2 linked regions of the Arabidopsis thaliana genome follow. The protein of the gene in region 2 interacts with the protein of the main gene of each other region in a pairwise test. Each region holds a gene or a part of one and is shown on either strand. Other genes may lie near its edges. The genes, in order: AT5G27860 and AT5G49400.

Region 1 (4,567 bases), about 10 Mb from region 2:
AATATACAACACTTAATTTTGACTGCACCATGGTGTTTGAGGACATTCGGGTCCCTTAGCAAGTAAGTAATAGACTCATGCAGCAATAACATTGTCATAGGATTCTAGAGATGAATATGAGGTATTTGGTTGTCATTGTTTAGCTAAAAAATTAGCAAAAACATTAAATGTAAAATTCGTTAAAAGCATTTAGTTGTCCGATGAATAGCAAAAAAAAATATTATTATTAAGAGAGGGATTTATTAATACGAACTAAAATAATACTATAAATATAGCTATTTAGCTTAACTAAAGTGACTTCCACTTCCTGCGATTAACAATTCCCATAAAAAATATGTCATTGTAATTCTTGGAAACACTTTTGTATACCAAAAGACCAAGGAGAATATTCCATGATGAAGCGTTTAACTTGATCACATGTTATCATCGTCATTAGCTCAAATCTTCAAAGATCTAAAAGTACTACATCTCTTATGACTCAAACTTGGCAATCACTATGTATAGTATATATTCTGATTTAGCCACTACACTTAGACGTATATGCTTGCTTTGCTTTAGTTTAGGTTGAACCTGATGTTATTGTGTATGATTAGAAATTTTGGATCATGTATGTCCCTTGCTTGGATCAACATACATAACTTCTTTACAAAAGCTAATCAACGAATAGAAATCTGTTTAAAAAAAATGATTTGGTCACCTAAGTCACCAAAATTCGGTCAAAGATCTTAAGAGAACCCCACAGTTAAGAGTGTTTGGATGGAATAATTTCAGGATAGGTGACCTTCCTGAATAATTTGTAGGGCCAATAACAAATCTTTAAAACTTCTTAGAACGTGACACGACCGCCCAACAGTGGTGTGTCCATATATTCGAGAAGACGTGAGATCCACTGGTAGGAATTAGAGCAGCAGCAATGGTGGTATCTATTGTGAGTCCCTTATAATAAAAATAATTAAAAAGTGAGGGACAGAGGAGAGAGGGGCTCCAAAAACCCTTATTTAAGGAACAGTCTCAACACCAAATATATACATGTAGCTTTTTTAGTAGTCAAACTCTATTAAAAAATTAAAATATAATAACAACATTAGAATATATTTTTTTATTTTTTTTTTAGGGACTCTCATAGTCCCTCCCGTTGGAGGTGGTCTTACAAGTTGTCTTCGGAAAAAAAAAGTTAAAGAACAGAAAATTGATGTTTTCGTAGTAAAAGAAAAAATATATATACTAAATGACCTTTGACTGCAAGAATGAAGTAAATAACTATGGTTGAAAATTATGAGAGAGGAAAACACTTTTAGACACAATATATGACATTTTTATCCTCAACCACACATGATCTTACCTTCTTCTTCTTTCTTGCTTGCAAACTTCCCCTTCCATCGCATATCAACAACATACTTCTCTATTCTTTCTCTCACCAACACAAATCTCTCTCTCTCTCCAACAAATTTTCTCGCCAATATTTCTGAATTTTCTTTATACGTATGCCGTCGACGAATCTCTCCACCCATCTCCTTCTAGTTCTCCCTCCTCTATCACGAATCTCTTCATTTCTTTGAAACTTTCAACCTTTGTTGTTTATTTGTCCACTGGATCTCATATTATTAATACTCCATGCTATTTAACAAAGTCACATATAATATTTGTCTAACAAAACCCCATGAAATATGTAAATATTTATCATGTTATCCAATAAAAACCCATGTAATTTTGTAACAATTCTATATATTTGCTAATATTTCGTGTTTTATAAGAGAATTGCATGCATTTTATAAATATATCATACTATTTCAGAAAAACACATTATTTTAGAAAAATATATATATAGTGTATATATATCGTTTATGTATTTAAAAGAATTACATAATTTTTGTAAATATATCATGCTATTTTAAACAAATACATATAAACTTTATAACTAAAGCTAATGCTATTTTCTGACACAAGATCATTCTCTCAATTCTTTTCCATTTCATAGTTAGTTTGTAATATTACCCTAAAAGAAAAAAGAAAAGGGCAAAAACCCTAAAAATTCAATAAAACGGTAATAGCAATCAACTCCTTAATCTCTTAATGATTTATAAAACGTACCGAAACAAAACTTAATTATTATAACTAGCCCCTATAGTTATTTTAAATAAATATCTGTCTAATAAATTTGACCAAACCCTTAAGATCTAATTTTCTCTGTTTGATTTGTCCTCTCAACAATGGCGGCTTCATCATCTTCGTCTTCCTCCGACGTCTCCTCTGATTCTTCAGACTCTCATCGTCGCCGTAAGGATCGCCGTCATCATCGTAGAAACGATCGAGACAGAGACTCGCTCAAAGTACGGAAAAAGAGCCGATCCACCTCGAAAAAACGCCGTAGACGCCAACACTCCTCCGATTCCTCTGATTCTTCTTACTCCGATTCCTCCAGGTCCGTTGATTTCTCGTCAACTTCTCTCGCCCAATTTTACGATTGAAAACCCTAATTTTCCCGTTTGGTTTCATTTCTGGATCGGAGCACTTGATTTCACATTTTGATTTTGTTCTTTGAATGTTAGGGTTAGGGTTTGGTTACATGGAAACTGGATAAGATTATCGTTAGTGGAACTCTAAAGATTGATTTAAGCAGAATCTAGCTTGTGTTTCTTGTTTGGTTTCACATTTTGAATTTGTTCGTCGAATGTTAGGGTTTAGGGTTTGATTTGATGGAACTGGATTAGAATCTCGTTAGTGGAACTGGATTAATTGATTGATGTAAATAGAAACTAGAGAAAACTAAGAGTGTGATATTTGCGTTTTTGTCTCAGTGAGAGCTCAGATAGTGAGCATGAGAAGTCACGAAGGCACAAGAAGCATGAAAAGCCAAAGAAGGTTACTTTCTGTACTCAATTCTTAATCATGTGAAGTTTCTCTGTTATAGTGTTTAGCTTAAAAGTACCATTTTTTGTTTAAAGGCTAAGGATAAGGAACGAAGCAAGAGTCATCGTCATAAACGGCATAAGAACAGAGAAAGAAAGGTTGGCCATTATTTTCTCATTACGCTTTGAATAGATTCTCATCAAGATAACAAGTTTCTTATAATACTTCTTTTGCCTTTCTCTGTGGCCTCTTCGAAATTGGAGCTGGGGTTGGTGACATGATAAACTGGGGACTTTGTGTTATCTTCGTTTTGTTTGTGTTTATCTTTTTGGTCCTGGCAATGTGAGTGTTGTATAGAAAGGGGAAGGAGAAGGAAGTAGCGGGCCTGTAAAACTATCAAAGGTACTATAGCTATATATACCCATAAAGATCTAAAGTTTATATGAAGTCCATGTTTTATGATTCAGTTTCTTTCATGATTCAGTTTTTGAACCGCGACAAAGACGATGGTGAACGTAGAAGTGCTGTTTCAGGGAAAAAAGTTAGTCTGAGACTCTCTTTAGGGTTGTCTAATATTACACCCTACACAACTATTTTCTGTTTTCTTTTCTCACTTCCTTCTTCTGATGTGTTTGGCTATAGATTCTGCTGAAGGTTGACAAGTCCAAAGAGGACAAAGCTGCAGAGAGCAAAAGAAATGAACTGCTTAAGTTCTTAAACGCAAGTTTCGACTAGTATTTTTCGCTTTTGTCTCGATGACAGAATCTCAACAACAAGAAGAATGTAAGATGGTATTTGATTAGATTCTAGTTTCCGTATCTGTTTGGTGATTCAGATCCTTGTTTTGTTTTTCCAGAGGACTAATCCTGTCATGGATTTGTTTTACTTCTATTTTCTTGTTTAGTCTTAAAGTTTGTGTTATCGCACACTGTTCTTCTTGGAAACCCGAGAAATGGTTACTGAGATTTTATCCGTGCGTACATTAAAACCATTTCCAACTTGCAAGATTCAGTATGGAACTTTCGAGCCATCTCCTGTTACCATGGAGCTGTGTTCCAATGTTGTTGGATTACATCCACTTGTGCTGAGAAGACTTGATGCGTTCTTATTTGACAAGCTTCATTATGATTATGGATATACGATTTTTGCTAGAACCTAATAGACAACGAATTAGGTGGGTTAGTACGAAACAGAACATTTTTCAGGGTTGTTTACACATTTTAATACTCATGTACAGATATTTTATTTCCAAGGAAGAGAAATACAAAACGAAATAGACCATAATGATACTATGAACTCCAAATACTGATCAAATCCAAATTCTAGATAAAATCTCATTGCAGCTAATAGTAGTAAGATTAAAAGACAAAGCAAAATATCCAATTGTCTTGAGAATAGAAAAACAGAACTTAAAACAAAGTCTGGAACAGGGTAAAGAGGAACCAGCGTTCCCTACCAAAACTTCGATACTTAAACCAAGCAAAACGAAACCAGAAAACATCTTCTTAGACCTTGAATCCACGACTCTTTCGCTTTCCTCTAGCTTTCTCAAACTTCCTTCCCTTATGCCTAACATATGGCTTAGTGTTACTGTGTGGCACACCAGGAGCAGGTCCGAAATGCTTCACTGCTTCACGCGAGTTCTTTGGTCCTCTAAGAAGAACCTGTCACAACATATCAAACACAGCTCAGTTTCATATATAAACTTGAATTATCC
Region 2 (4,113 bases):
AATAACACCTCTAGAGAATTCCTACGAAAAAAAATTCAAGAAGTTGAGGGATAGAGAGTGAGAAACAAACCAGTTATATGCAATTTTTGTTTCGGCTAGGCATTTTATCGAACACTTTGTGTGCAATATGAGCTTTACAGGTGTATCAACAACAGAGATTGAAAAAAGGTAAAAACTTTTCAAGGAGAACACAAAGTGGAAGCTCCAAGCTTAGACTTTGTACTAGTTTAAAACTTAATGCAACTTTGGGAGAGAGAGGGATCAGTCTGTGAGGAAGGAGACTGGGGACAGAGTCACAGAGATAATTAATGCAACTATTTCTGGAAGATAAATTACGGATATTTACAAAAGAAGCCCTTGACTTTATTACACATATTTGTATGTTTCAGGGGATGATTTTAATTTTGTTTGAACTGATTACTTTCCAATTAGTATTGGATTGATGTGGTTATTATTTTTTTGTTACAGAGTATCTAGTACATAGATAATTTCCATTGAATGCCAAAAAACCTCCTCCATCCTTCGAATATATGCATGCTATAACCAACAGTCACTAAAATCTCTCTATCATAACAACACAAAGGTATTTCGTTTAGGTTTACAACATTCTCCAAGGAGCTATTGAGCTATGAAAACTTGAGGAGATTCTAAAGATTTATCAGTTTGTTACAACATAAAGCCATAAATGGCTGACAAAAAGAAAAAATCGAACTTGAAGAAAAAGAAGTAACATAGCAGTGAGTTTCCTTTAAGAAGCTTAAAATGATTCTAAGGCATGAAAATTTTCATCCACTTATCGATTTCCTAAAACCAATTCAACGACGCTTGTTGCTGTGCCTCTTGCTCTTCTTCTTTCTTCTGCTTCTATCTTCATCAGAATCTGAGTCCGAAGCTGATTCTGACTCAGATGACTCCGATGAAGAAGAGCTGTACCTTCTTCGCCTTTCTTTCCTCTGCTTTTGCTTCTTCTTGCTCTTCTTGGCCTTTCTTCTCCTCCTCCTTTCGTCCTCTGAGTCCGACGATGAACTGTATTCTGAACTACTCTCTCCAGATGAGCCATCACTATCTGTTTCAAACACAGAGGCTTCACTATCACTTTCAGAATCAGACTTTGACCTATGCTTTCGCTTACTCTTCTTAGATCGCTTCTCAACTTCTGCTTTCCCATTAGTTGCATCAGGCCTTTCTTCTTCATCATCATCATCACTACCATCAAGATCATCAACAGAAGGCTTCGTTCTCAGTTTAGGATTCTTAAGCTGCTGAGTTCTCGAAGGCCTCGAGATATAAACCCTTTCATTCTTACACTCATAAGTCCAATGCCCAGCTTGGAAACATTTCTGACACTGTGAAGCCGCCGAAGCACTGCTTCCCACGGCTGAAGCTGACATTGTTTTATCTTTCCTTTCACCAAGCCTGACAGCTTTCTCAGTACTCATCAAATACATCTGCCTCTTTAATTCTCTTTTCTCCTGCCATCTACTCGGACCTTCTTCTTTCTGGCCATAAGCGTTAACGTTTCTCGCTGCTGCAGCCGCTGCTCTCTCCGCTTGTGTACGGCTTAGACCTTTAGCAGCAGTGAGTGTTGCAGCCTTGATTCTATCAGCTGCATCTTGTGATTTCTCGTCCTTTGAATTAGACATGTTTCTGCATTGCATAACAAAGAATATACTAGAGACTTAGAATCAAATCTTCAAAATTGGACAAATAGAATCAGTATAAAGCTGAACAAAATAGACAAATTTCGAAACCCTAAGCAGGGGATCTAAGATTAGGGATTCTACTTGATGGAGACGATTCAATAAACTGGGTTTTCGTTAACTAAACATCACAATATAATTCGATTTCTAAATCCTTACGATTATATACGGAGAAATCTAGGGGAAGTTGCTAGAATATCCACGGAGAAACTAGGGTTTATCGATCTAATTGCTCGAATACAAGATCTACACAAACGTTGGAATAGGAGTTGAAGAAAACTTACAATTAGAAACGAGCGTACCAAGAGGAAGATCGAAGGAGCGTGCTTGGAATGGATGAGCCAATTTGAGAGTGTGAGAAGGCGGCGTTAGAGCGAGGAAGACGAAAGAGAAAGACAAAAGATTATTCACAAACTCTTTTCTTATTTTCTCTCAAGTCCTTCACTCCTTTTTTATTTCCTTTTTTTCCTAAAATTACAAATTGTTTCTCTATGAAGATATATCAAATTGAATTAAATAATATGAATATGTGTGAAATTTCATCGTTTGAACTTTGAATTATTTAATTATACTGTATGATGCAAATAGGCGCTTTTTGGTGTTTGTAAAAACGCTTGAGTTGATGATATCAATTAGAGGTAAATGGTAAATGTGGACATCAAGAGAAACGGAAATTATCAAGACATCTACAAACAAAAACAACCCATTACCTGTTTCAAAAAAATCTGATATATATACACAGAAACACCTGCCTGAAATTATCTTAAATCCTCGGGTGTATGATGAAATCCTCCAAGTCTCTCTTTAAGAAATTGTAATTTCATTTTCACACAAGATTCATTTACAAAATGCAATTGCATAGTCATTTACACGGATCATCGAGTTGTCTTCAAAAGCATCATTTTAACCCTCTATACACAGTTTCTTCTATTCTTCAAAAATCCTATCTATTGTCAAGAATGTTAATCTCAACATCTCTTTACATCTGCTTGCTGTCAATTTCTTCATCTAAACTATTGCTATCGTCATTAGCTCCTTAGAGTTCTCCAGGTTCCTTAGCTTCACCACCTTGTTCTGGGGTGTTCTTATTTCCTTCACTTGTTGAACTGAGCTTCTGTCTTTTACTCTTCTCTAGCTCATCTTCGTCATCCTCATAATCAACCAAACCTCCAGACCTCTTGCTATATGATTAATAGAAAACAGAAAGCAAATCTATTAACTATATTTGTTGCTTCTAATGAATTTCTATCGAGAGAAACCAGAAACAAATACCTCGGAGAAACAGAACTTGCAGCTGTGACACCAGGATTATAGGGCTCAGCTACTTCCATCGGTGTGATAGAAGTAGAACTTGCAGCTGTGACATCAGGATTATAGGGCTCAGCTACTTCCATCGGTGTGATAGAAGTAGAACTTGCAGCTGTGACATCAGGATTATAGGGATCAGCTTCTTCCATCTGTGTGCTAGAAGTAGAACTTGCAGCGGTGACACCAGGATTATAGGGCTCAGCTACTTCCATCTGTGTGCTACAAGTAGAACTTGCAGCTGTGACATCAGGATTATAGGGCTCAGCATCTTCCATCTGTGTGCTAGAAGCAGAACTTGCAGCTGTGGCATTGGAATTATGGGGATCAGCTTCTTCCATCTGTGTACTGGAAGCAGAAGCTGGCTTTTTTTCATCCAGAGCACGCCCATCTTGTCTCATATCAGATTCATCATCAGTGGTGCTCTTTGGTCCCTAAGACAACATTGACACATTGTTAAACAAAGAATAGTTTAGGAAAACTTTTCAAAGTAGAAGTTAGATCGAAGAATGATACCTTCTCATATTTCGTTTTCAAATCCTTGATGGAACGCAGGTTCTCAAATGGAGCTAGCTGGTCCCAAAATGTATCACCTACGTATTTGACCAACACTGCATATTCCTGCACACAAAACAGTAATATGTATTATGTACAGAGGAACACCCCAAAGAAACAGTGAAGAAAAGGATGAAATAATAGGAACCTTGCGTATGTGCTCAAGAAGCTCCAACACAGCAGCAGTCATCAGGTTGTCCCGATGACGATTAGCAACAAAAACTTCGATAATCGGTTTCAGCGTGTTGTTCTCAACAATGTAACTCTGGACATTATCATTCTGAAATAGAACAATATTTTAGAAATTGCATAACTTACCTAAAGACTTATTGTCATCCGAGAACATTTTCTAGCCATTATAGAATCAATTGTCTAATTCATTCTCAAGAGAGAATGCACAGATGAGCCTATAAGAAAAAATGCTGATCGAAGACTACTTTACTTACATGGACAGAGAGGAGAGTGCGGACAAATCGAACAGCTGCAGCCACTAGGGTTTTTTCCTTTCTTCGAGTGAGAAGCAAAACCTTTTCTATCACACTGTTATGGAGAA

The links.
Region 1: the proteins of AT5G49400 (region 2) and AT5G27860 interact in a two-hybrid assay, tested with the Arabidopsis thaliana proteins (one large-scale study listed by BioGRID).

Annotation. Positions count from the first base shown.
Region 1 is NC_003076.8:9,874,086-9,878,652, reverse strand, and holds AT5G27860 (uncharacterized protein), read left to right. Parts: upstream 1-2,152; 5' UTR 2,153-2,210; coding exon 2,211-2,422; intron 2,423-2,798; coding exon 2,799-2,862; intron 2,863-2,945; coding exon 2,946-3,008; intron 3,009-3,207; coding exon 3,208-3,252; intron 3,253-3,334; coding exon 3,335-3,391; intron 3,392-3,492; coding exon 3,493-3,585; 3' UTR 3,586-3,935; downstream 3,936-4,567. Other genes in the region: AT5G27850 (Ribosomal protein L18e/L15 superfamily protein), read right to left, coding at 4,356-4,514.
Region 2 is NC_003076.8:20,028,684-20,032,796, reverse strand, and holds AT5G49400 (zinc knuckle (CCHC-type) family protein), read right to left. Parts: upstream 2,146-4,113; 5' UTR 1,985-2,145; intron 1,648-1,984; 5' UTR 1,644-1,647; coding exon 816-1,643; 3' UTR 514-815; downstream 1-513. Other genes in the region: AT5G49390 (serine/threonine-protein phosphatase 4 regulatory subunit-like protein), read right to left, coding at 2,737-2,881, 2,973-3,439, 3,522-3,626, 3,709-3,840, 4,007-4,113.